2 linked regions of the Struthio camelus genome follow. Each later gene encodes a partner of the first gene's protein in a complex. Links are inferred from orthologs where the notes say so. Each region holds a gene or a part of one and is shown on either strand. Other genes may lie near its edges.

Evidence for each region.
Region 2: the proteins of CCKAR (region 1) and CCK are in contact, whole or in part, in a cryo-EM structure (PDB 7MBX), measured with the Homo sapiens proteins. The link is inferred for Struthio camelus from reciprocal best matches to the Homo sapiens genes CCKAR and CCK. Residues at the interface, in NP_000721.1 of Homo sapiens: Cys94, Phe97, Asn98, Pro101, Asn102, Lys105, Asp106, Phe107, Thr118, Met121, Gly122, Val125, Tyr176, Phe185, Asn194, Met195, Cys196, Arg197, Phe198, His210, Leu213, Leu217, Ile329, Phe330, Ala332, Asn333, Arg336, Ala343, Glu344, Leu347; in NP_000720.1 of Homo sapiens: Asp96, Tyr97, Met98, Gly99, Trp100, Met101, Asp102, Phe103.

What each region holds. Positions count from the first base shown.
Region 1 is NC_090945.1:66,705,466-66,709,378, reverse strand, and holds the start of CCKAR (cholecystokinin receptor type A), read right to left. Parts: upstream 2,514-3,913; 5' UTR 2,159-2,513; coding exon 2,038-2,158; intron 1,322-2,037; coding exon 1,070-1,321; intron 1-1,069. UniProt on the Homo sapiens protein: Receptor for cholecystokinin. Mediates pancreatic growth and enzyme secretion, smooth muscle contraction of the gall bladder and stomach. Has a 1000-fold higher affinity for CCK rather than for gastrin.
Region 2 is NC_090943.1:51,799,262-51,803,174, forward strand, and holds the start of CCK (cholecystokinin), read right to left. Parts: upstream 2,490-3,913; 5' UTR 2,401-2,489; exon of another isoform or gene 2,280-2,400; intron 1,299-2,279; 5' UTR 1,297-1,298; coding exon 1,041-1,296; intron 1-1,040. UniProt on the Homo sapiens protein: This peptide hormone induces gall bladder contraction and the release of pancreatic enzymes in the gut. Its function in the brain is not clear.

The sequences.
Region 1 (3,913 bases):
GATTCTTAAAATAAAGCAACTTCATAGTTAAAAACTTAATATTTGAAAACAGTTCGTTGGACTTTTTATAAAGCAATTTACGCAAGGTGAAATAAGAGAAAGATGACAGGGCTTCAGCAATTTGTTATGGTATTCATGGCTGCAATTCATTATAATTTGTTTAAACATGGCCTTTAGTTTTATTGGTTTTATCTACAGAAAGATGTTGATTTCCCATTCCCACACTTTAGATGTGTACTTTCACATTGCATGGAAGTTCTCAAGGGCGCAGGTTGAAAAGGGAACTTTGGTTTCTGTAATTAACCACAGGTAACTCTAAGTCAGCAAAACCTTTACATAATGTTCTCTTTTTCTTTTTTTTTTTTAAAAAAGAAAAACAAAAGAAGTATTGATAATGAGACAAAAGTCACTTACATAGATAGTCATAATCCAGGCAGTCCTGGCTCGACCTCGATAGCATATATAAGGCATATATGTAAGTGGTGTCTCCTAAAGCCAGCCTGTTAAACCTCCATCTGAGGGCTCTGTGTTTTACGGCCCCCTGGTGACTTCTCATCACACCTGATTTTTAAGTAGTTCTTGCTCTAACTGCCAGCTCTGCAAATAATATCTACCTTGGGCTATTTTTCTCTCTGTGTTTGTCTCTGTGTTTCTCTGTGTTATGGTACCAGAAAGCTGTGGGCAAAATCTGCCTTTAGTGAGGACTGCACAACGCTACTATTTTTGCCTAGTGATCTGAAAACTGTTAATAATTCTGTCAGTGATGGGTAAGCAAGAGTAGGTGCCACGTTCCTGACTAAAGGGTGGTCCTGCAAAATACTTACTGCTTAACCTGGTCCAAAAAAACACTTATGTGCGTATTTCAAACTAAGTGGGTGCCTCTGTGTTTTGCTGGATCAAACTAAGGAGACCAGCACCATGAAGATTCGCACCACAAAGTTGCTTTTTAGTGAAGTTGGTAATTGTTCAACAGCAGATGGAAACAGTCAGCTTTTTACTGGTCTTTAACGAGCTTCTCACATATCTCATAAGATAATCTTCAAAATAAGTATAAACTTCCAAGACTTACCCATGAAGTAAGTGGCAGTTTTACAAACAGCACTGCCAAAAATAAAATCTTTCAGCAGGTTGGGAATGAGGGTGAATGGCATGCAGAAAAGGCAGAGCATTAGGTCACTGACAGCTAGTGAGAGCAGAAATGTGTTGGTGACCGTTCTCATCCGTTTGTTTCTTATCAGCACCGTAATTACAAGAATGTTCCCCAAAACACTGAGCAGAAATATCAACGCGTACAGCAGAATCCGAATGGTCTGATGCAAATCTGAAAACGGTCACAGTGAAGAATCAGTCAGGAAGCATACATTCGCTGTGTGTCCCCTCCGTAACCAAAAGGTAAAGCTTCTGCTAAGGCTGAGGTCTCTACACCAAGGTAAAATCGGTGGAAGTTCTGAAATTCTTAAAGTTATTCTGGTCTACCTGACGTGCACGATATTGAAATACAATACATGCAGCACAGTGGACATTTGGAGAGCCAGGTACAACTTCGTAAAAGCACCCTCTGCTCAAACCCCTTAGCGTGCACCGGTCGCTCACAACGGAAATTCCTCCTTCATGCCAAAGGGAGAAAGGAGATGGCAATCAAAAGGGTTTTGATACATGGATGATTTTGTTCAGCTTCAGAGTGTTATAATTTCATATTTAATCACTTTCGTACATGGTATCAGATCAGATATCTCTGCTGCTATTGATGTGTTTGAAGAGCAAAAAATATGTTTCTTTCAGCCGGTAGCAGAGCTATTTACACTGTGTGCCTGGTATTGCTACTGTTGCTTTCCCATTCTCACTGAAATTTGCTCTAGGTGAATTTTTAGCTCCCAAAGTCAGCACATACCGCCTGTTTCTCATCTTAACTTATCAGCAAACAGTTGATTTTGCACTCCCTCACAGAAAAAGCCTCCTGTAGCTGTTTTTCTCTATGGTGTCTCACTTTCAGTGAGAACTAATGCTGTCTGAGAAAAATCTATTTTCTACACATACCTTTAGAAGGGTACGGTGGATCATCCACGCAGAAAAAAGTGTCATTTTCCAAGATGATATCACACAGGAAAGTAGAAATATTGGTAGCATTCCCAAGTAAGCTGTCATCAACAATTTCCATTCTTCGGTAGCCGTGGGTTAGCTTTTATGAAGAAAAGGGTTGGTCTGTAACTATTTGCCCATTCTTTCAGTAAAGGCAAATATTTCTCAACGAAATCTTCCGTAGTGATAAGTGAGCGAGGTGGTTGTACAAGTAAGCTCTTTTAACTATCCATCAGGAATATCCAGTGCACAGAATCCTGCTCAGGGGGGAGAAGATTCATTCCCGGGGCACGCAAGGCAGTTTAGGTTCAGAAAAGCAAAGCATGAGTACACATACACATGCACATGCACATGCACACATAGGCGCACACGCGCGTGCGCGCACACACACACACACACACACACACACACACACACACCTCCTCCCGTACCTCCTTAGATCCACCCTCTTCTGTTACTGGCCTACTGTTGGGATTATAAACAGACTAGAAAAAGATTATAACATTAACCCCTTGCAAGATTGCTTCTACTCACATATCTGCAATATTTCTCAGAGGAAGTCTGTTACGCCACAGCCAATAAATCATGACCAGTAAGTGATGAGCATGATAAATCAGTCTCTCAGACAACAAAATTTAAAATGGTTAAGAGGAGCTGAATAAAAGGGCACAGAAGAAAAAAACACAGTGAAGATTTTCTGTGCCTTTTATAAAACCAATTATTTGCTCTACCTTTTTCAAAGTGAACTGAAGACTGGCTATGAACTGGTTCAGAAAAACAAGGGCCATTTATTTCATTTGGGGAGGTGCTCCACTAACTTCATATGAAAGCTCTGTAAGTGCCTGATCCAAAACCTAGTAAGTCAATAGAAAGACACACTAATTTCAATGTTCTTTGGATCAAACCTTATGAAAGTACACTATTAAAATTATTGTTTAATATAAGCAGAAGCCTATACATTTTCTCGGTGCAAAGAGCTGGATGCAACTTGTCTACAAATTTGATGAAGCAATAACCGCTAGTGTAAAATACGATGATCCTGGTTGTTTACAAGAAATTCTTTTTTATTTGTTCTGTTTTGTGAATATACAAACATCATCCTCTCTGATACTTCAACAATGTCATGGACTTTTAACGTGCCACGTACAGTTGGGGTTTGTTTGCTTGTTTGTTTGTTTTGGCTTGGGTTTTTTTTTGAGAAAGATAGAGAAGACGTACATGTAGCTCATGGCAAAACATTTTATTATAAATGAATCCCTGCTACAACTCAACTGAAAACAAATTTCACATGTAAAATCCCTTCTAATTAAATAGGCAGAGTAATAGTAGTTTTAGTCTGACCCCTTAAAGTTGATACACAAAGGCTGGAAGGCCTGGATTTCTTTGCCAGTCTCTCCAGCCTTAACGTGCAGTGCCATTAACTGGAATGGCTAGATTGGAGAGCAGATTGAACAGCTGCAGCTAAAGTTCTAATTTCTAATTCTCATTTCTTTAACAAATTAATTATAAGGTTTCCATTTCTTGTACAAAGTCTTGCAGCTCTTAAAATCTGAGCTTATTAATACAGACTCAAGCTGGCAATCAGTGTATATGATGTACTTCACATAGTAACTGTCTCATCAGAAAGAAACATTCAGTCCAGCAGGGTTCAATTCCAGTTCCAAAGGTGTATCATACTGGTAGGAAATCAATCCAGAATGACTCTTTCGGGTTTATTTTTTCCACTTGTGACTCTCAAAATGTATGAAAATTATATTTAAGAAATGAAAATTAAAGTATATTTCCATTTTTACAACGATTGTGCACTAAGCTTGAATACTAAGTACTGAGATCT
Region 2 (3,913 bases), on another chromosome or scaffold:
ATTAGGTTGCCCGCAGTGCTACTCTACTCAGACAGAAAGCAATACACAGATGAGATACTTCAAAAGGAAAAGTGTCTTTTAGGAGAGTTTCAACGGGGAACTATATGAAACCATTTTGATCCATCACATCTACTGATAGTACAGACAGCATATGTGTGTGTGCATGTAAAATATATACTTTTATTATACAGCTTTATTCTTTCCCTAGCTAGCTCATGTATGTAATACAGTTTCTTCCTTAAATGACTATATCACATAAGAAAAAAATCAAGCCCTCAAATTCCATTACTCTTGTCAGTGCTTCACACCCTGTTACAAATGCAGTGCCATGGAGGTTTTAAGTAACTGCAAGATTCTGTTGTACTCCAAGGCTGCCTGGGACTCAAAACCAAATAGGAATTGACACATTTTGAAGCAAACACTTTTATTTACCACTGCTTTAGCACTGTGTTCATAAATGCAAGTTCCGATCTTTCAAAAGCTCGCATGCTTTTGTAACTTCTCCCTGAGAACAACTACATGGAAAGTCCAATACTCAGAAGATTTCCCTGTTGTGGATGTTCCTGGCTGAGGAAAGATTAGCCATTTGGTCTGTATTTAGCCACAGAAAAGCTTTCCTGCTCTCCTAACTTCAAAGAGGAATGGAGGTTTTTTAAATGAAAAAGTTCAAGAAAATGCAATTACTAGATTTTGGGTGAAATAAAACATGCTGCAAAACATACCAAAATAATTACAAGGCTATGAAAATAAGTGAAAATAAATAAATAAATGCTCAGCTAGAACCTGACAGGGAGGTTTAAATTTTCCTGTTACCTGTACCCAGCTCTCAGCCAGTGGATGATACGTGAAAAATCTTTTTGGCAGAGTTTTGCAACAACAGAAAAGGAGAATGCTCTCTACTTCAGGAATAACTAGGCAAAAATCTACCTCCTATCTTCTGTGGTAATCCATGCTGGACTATGACAGGGTTCCCTTAACATCTAGGTTTTTCTGAAGGAAACTCCACTAACGCAGAAGCAGCATAGGAAGTAGGCTATTACCTTTTCTGGCTTGCTGGAGATACTTGGCCAACAAAGCACCAATGTTAGCTCTTTGGTCGATGCTTCCATCCAGCCGCGGGACAGGTTTCAGCGGGCCGGTGGATGAAGGGGCGCGGACGTGCCGGTGATGCTCTGTCAAACTCTGCTCAAGCTCGGCAGCCAGTGGATTCCCATTGTGTGAGCCCGCAGTCTGCTGCCCGAAAGAGCTTGCTGAGAGCACAGCAAGGAACACGCAGATGCATATACCACTGTACATTGCTGGAGAGAATAGGAATCAGGGGTTAAAACGATCAGATATTTTATGTTATCCCCACCTTCATTTTTGGAGGCAACGGCTTCTGAGCAAGCTTTTTTTTTTTTTAAACAGGGATAACTGTGGGATCAGCATTAAGCTGGAAAACATGTACATTAATAGTTAAATATCCCTGGGTAAGAGGCAGAAGCATCTGTGGGCTGTTAAGTAACACAGGAAGGGATAAAACCAATTCACTGTGCTTTGTGCAGCATCTCCTTGATTCACTCCATTCCTCCTCGCTTTTCTGGAAGCTGCATTTCACTAAAACATAAGAAACACATCCAGCTCCGAGGAAAATCCCAGGATTAAAAAACACCACTATTCCGCTGTTGTGCTAAAACCCACTGTTACTGCAAATACTTGATTTTGAAAAGTTTTACGGAGCCATTACTTCGAGCAACCTTTCTTTGGTTTGAACTGCAGCGCTCAAGAGGCTTTATCTTGTCACACAGTGAGGAGGAAAGCAGCCACAGAAGGAAAATAAAACCAAAATCTATAACCTCCCCCCCAGCACTGGATCTAACCGTTGAGGTGGTAAAAGCTGGTCGGGAGTAAGAAATAACGTGCAGCGTGGCAATACTCTTCTTGATGTAAAGCAGAGAGCTCAAGTGTAATGATTTTTGTTTGCTGCTTCCTTAAGGAAACGAATATTAGAAAAAACGATGTCCTTTCGCTAGATTATTTGATTATATAAACGGACACAGGCTTTTCTTCCGGACACATAAAAATTACTCTCCGTAAAAACAGGCGAAACAACGTAGCTAAAGCTTAACGCTTTAAGGCTACTTCCCACTTACACAAGTTACCTGCACGGGAGCTGGTGACTCAGTTTAAGTTCCTGAACAGCGCACCGAACAACCGCCTTACAATTTCATAAGAAGGGCAAAAAAAAAAAAAACCAAAAAAACACGAAGTTCATTCGCCACCCCCCCCACCCCGTATACCTTAGACCGAAAACACTGGCAGTGCGCAAAACCCGACCTTTCGGCAGGGCGGGAGAGGAAATCAAAGCGCCACTGAAGTCCCACTCCAGCCCGCCGCGGGGTGCCGGCCGCCGCCGCCTACCTGCCGCTGCGCCGCCGAGGCCAGACCCGAGGGAGCGAGGCCGTGCGCGCCCAGGCTCGGCACTCAGTCAGGGCCGCCTCTGCCGCCGGCCCCTTAAATAGCGGCGGCGGCTGTTTGCACAGCTCTGACGCAGCCGCCGCCGCCCGCCGGGCCGGGGGGAGCCGGGTCGGGGGCCGGGGGGGGGGGAGCGGGGCGCCCCTCCCCGAGGCGGCGGCGGTTGGCGCCGTTGGGCTTTGCCTGGCCCCCGCCGGGGCGCGTCGGGCTCTCAGCCCTCGCTGAGGTGAAACTCTCAGCCCGAGCGCCGGCTGCCTGGCGGCTGGAGATTTTAAAACTACACCTCAGCCAAGGGATTCTCCCTCCCCCCCGCCTTCCCTCAGCCCAAACACGGCGGTGAGGGGCTGCCGGTGGCGGCTCCTGCCCGGGGGCGGCGGGTTTTTCACTCTTGACACGCGCCGGCGTTTATTTTCGGGGGGGAAGAAACGGTTCGGGCTTTTCTCGGCTGTGCCGAGCGCACCCTCCCGCCTGCTCAAGGAGAAGGGGCCCCTCATTTTCTTTTGAAAAGCCCCCAGACCTCGAGAGGGGAAAGGGAACACCGACCCCCCCCCCCCCCCCCAAGTGGGGCCGAGCGGGCTGCAGGGCGCCACGGGCAGCGATGGCGCTGGGCTCCGGCGTGATCCTGCCCCGCTGCTCAGGCTGCCACCCCGGCTCCTTCGTCGGCCAAAGAGCCTGGCTGGCTGACCAGGCACCGAGCCTCCCCTGGGAGCCGCGTGTCGGCGGCGGCTGGGCCGGGGGCCGGCCCGAGGGGCACCCCGCTGAAGCAGCAGCTCTGGGGACCCTCCAGGGCCGGGCGCAGCGCCCCTAGGAAGGGGCCGCTCTGGCGGGAGCCGCCCTTGCTCCCCGTCTCCTCGGCACCGCCGCGGGACGAGCCCTGCCCCGGGCCTGCAGGGGCATCCCAGCGCCAACCGCCTGCTGTGCAAGAGAGGGGTCAAGTCATCCGAAAGGCAGAAACCCCGTGGCAGGAAGGTGCCCCACAGCGGGCCAAGAGAAAGCCAGCCTGCTGCTGCCAGGAAGGGCCGCTGAGCCGCTTTCTCCCAGGCGCTGTCACTTTTGCGGGGCAGCTCCCTCACCGCCAGGCCCCGTCCCCACCCAAACCGGACCCCTGCCGCTCCCTGTGTCGCCCGGCTGCGGCACACTGGGCGCAGGGAGAGCAGCCACCGGCATCCCGGCGCAGCTGGTAGCGCTGCTGGCCTGAGAGGGGTGTTGTGGCTTCGCCTTGGTGGGGAGAGTGGTGGGGGTGATGGGGATGGTGGTGGGATGGGAGGTGATGGGGACAGTGGTGGGACGGGGGAGCGGTGGTGACAGTGGTGGGACAGCAGGTGATGGGGACAGTGGTGGGACAGAGTGTGATGGGGACGGTGGTGAGACAGGGTGTGATGAGGATGGTGGTGGGACGTTGGGTGATGAGGACAATGGTGGGATGGGGGTGATGGGGATGGTGGTGGGACAGTGGGTG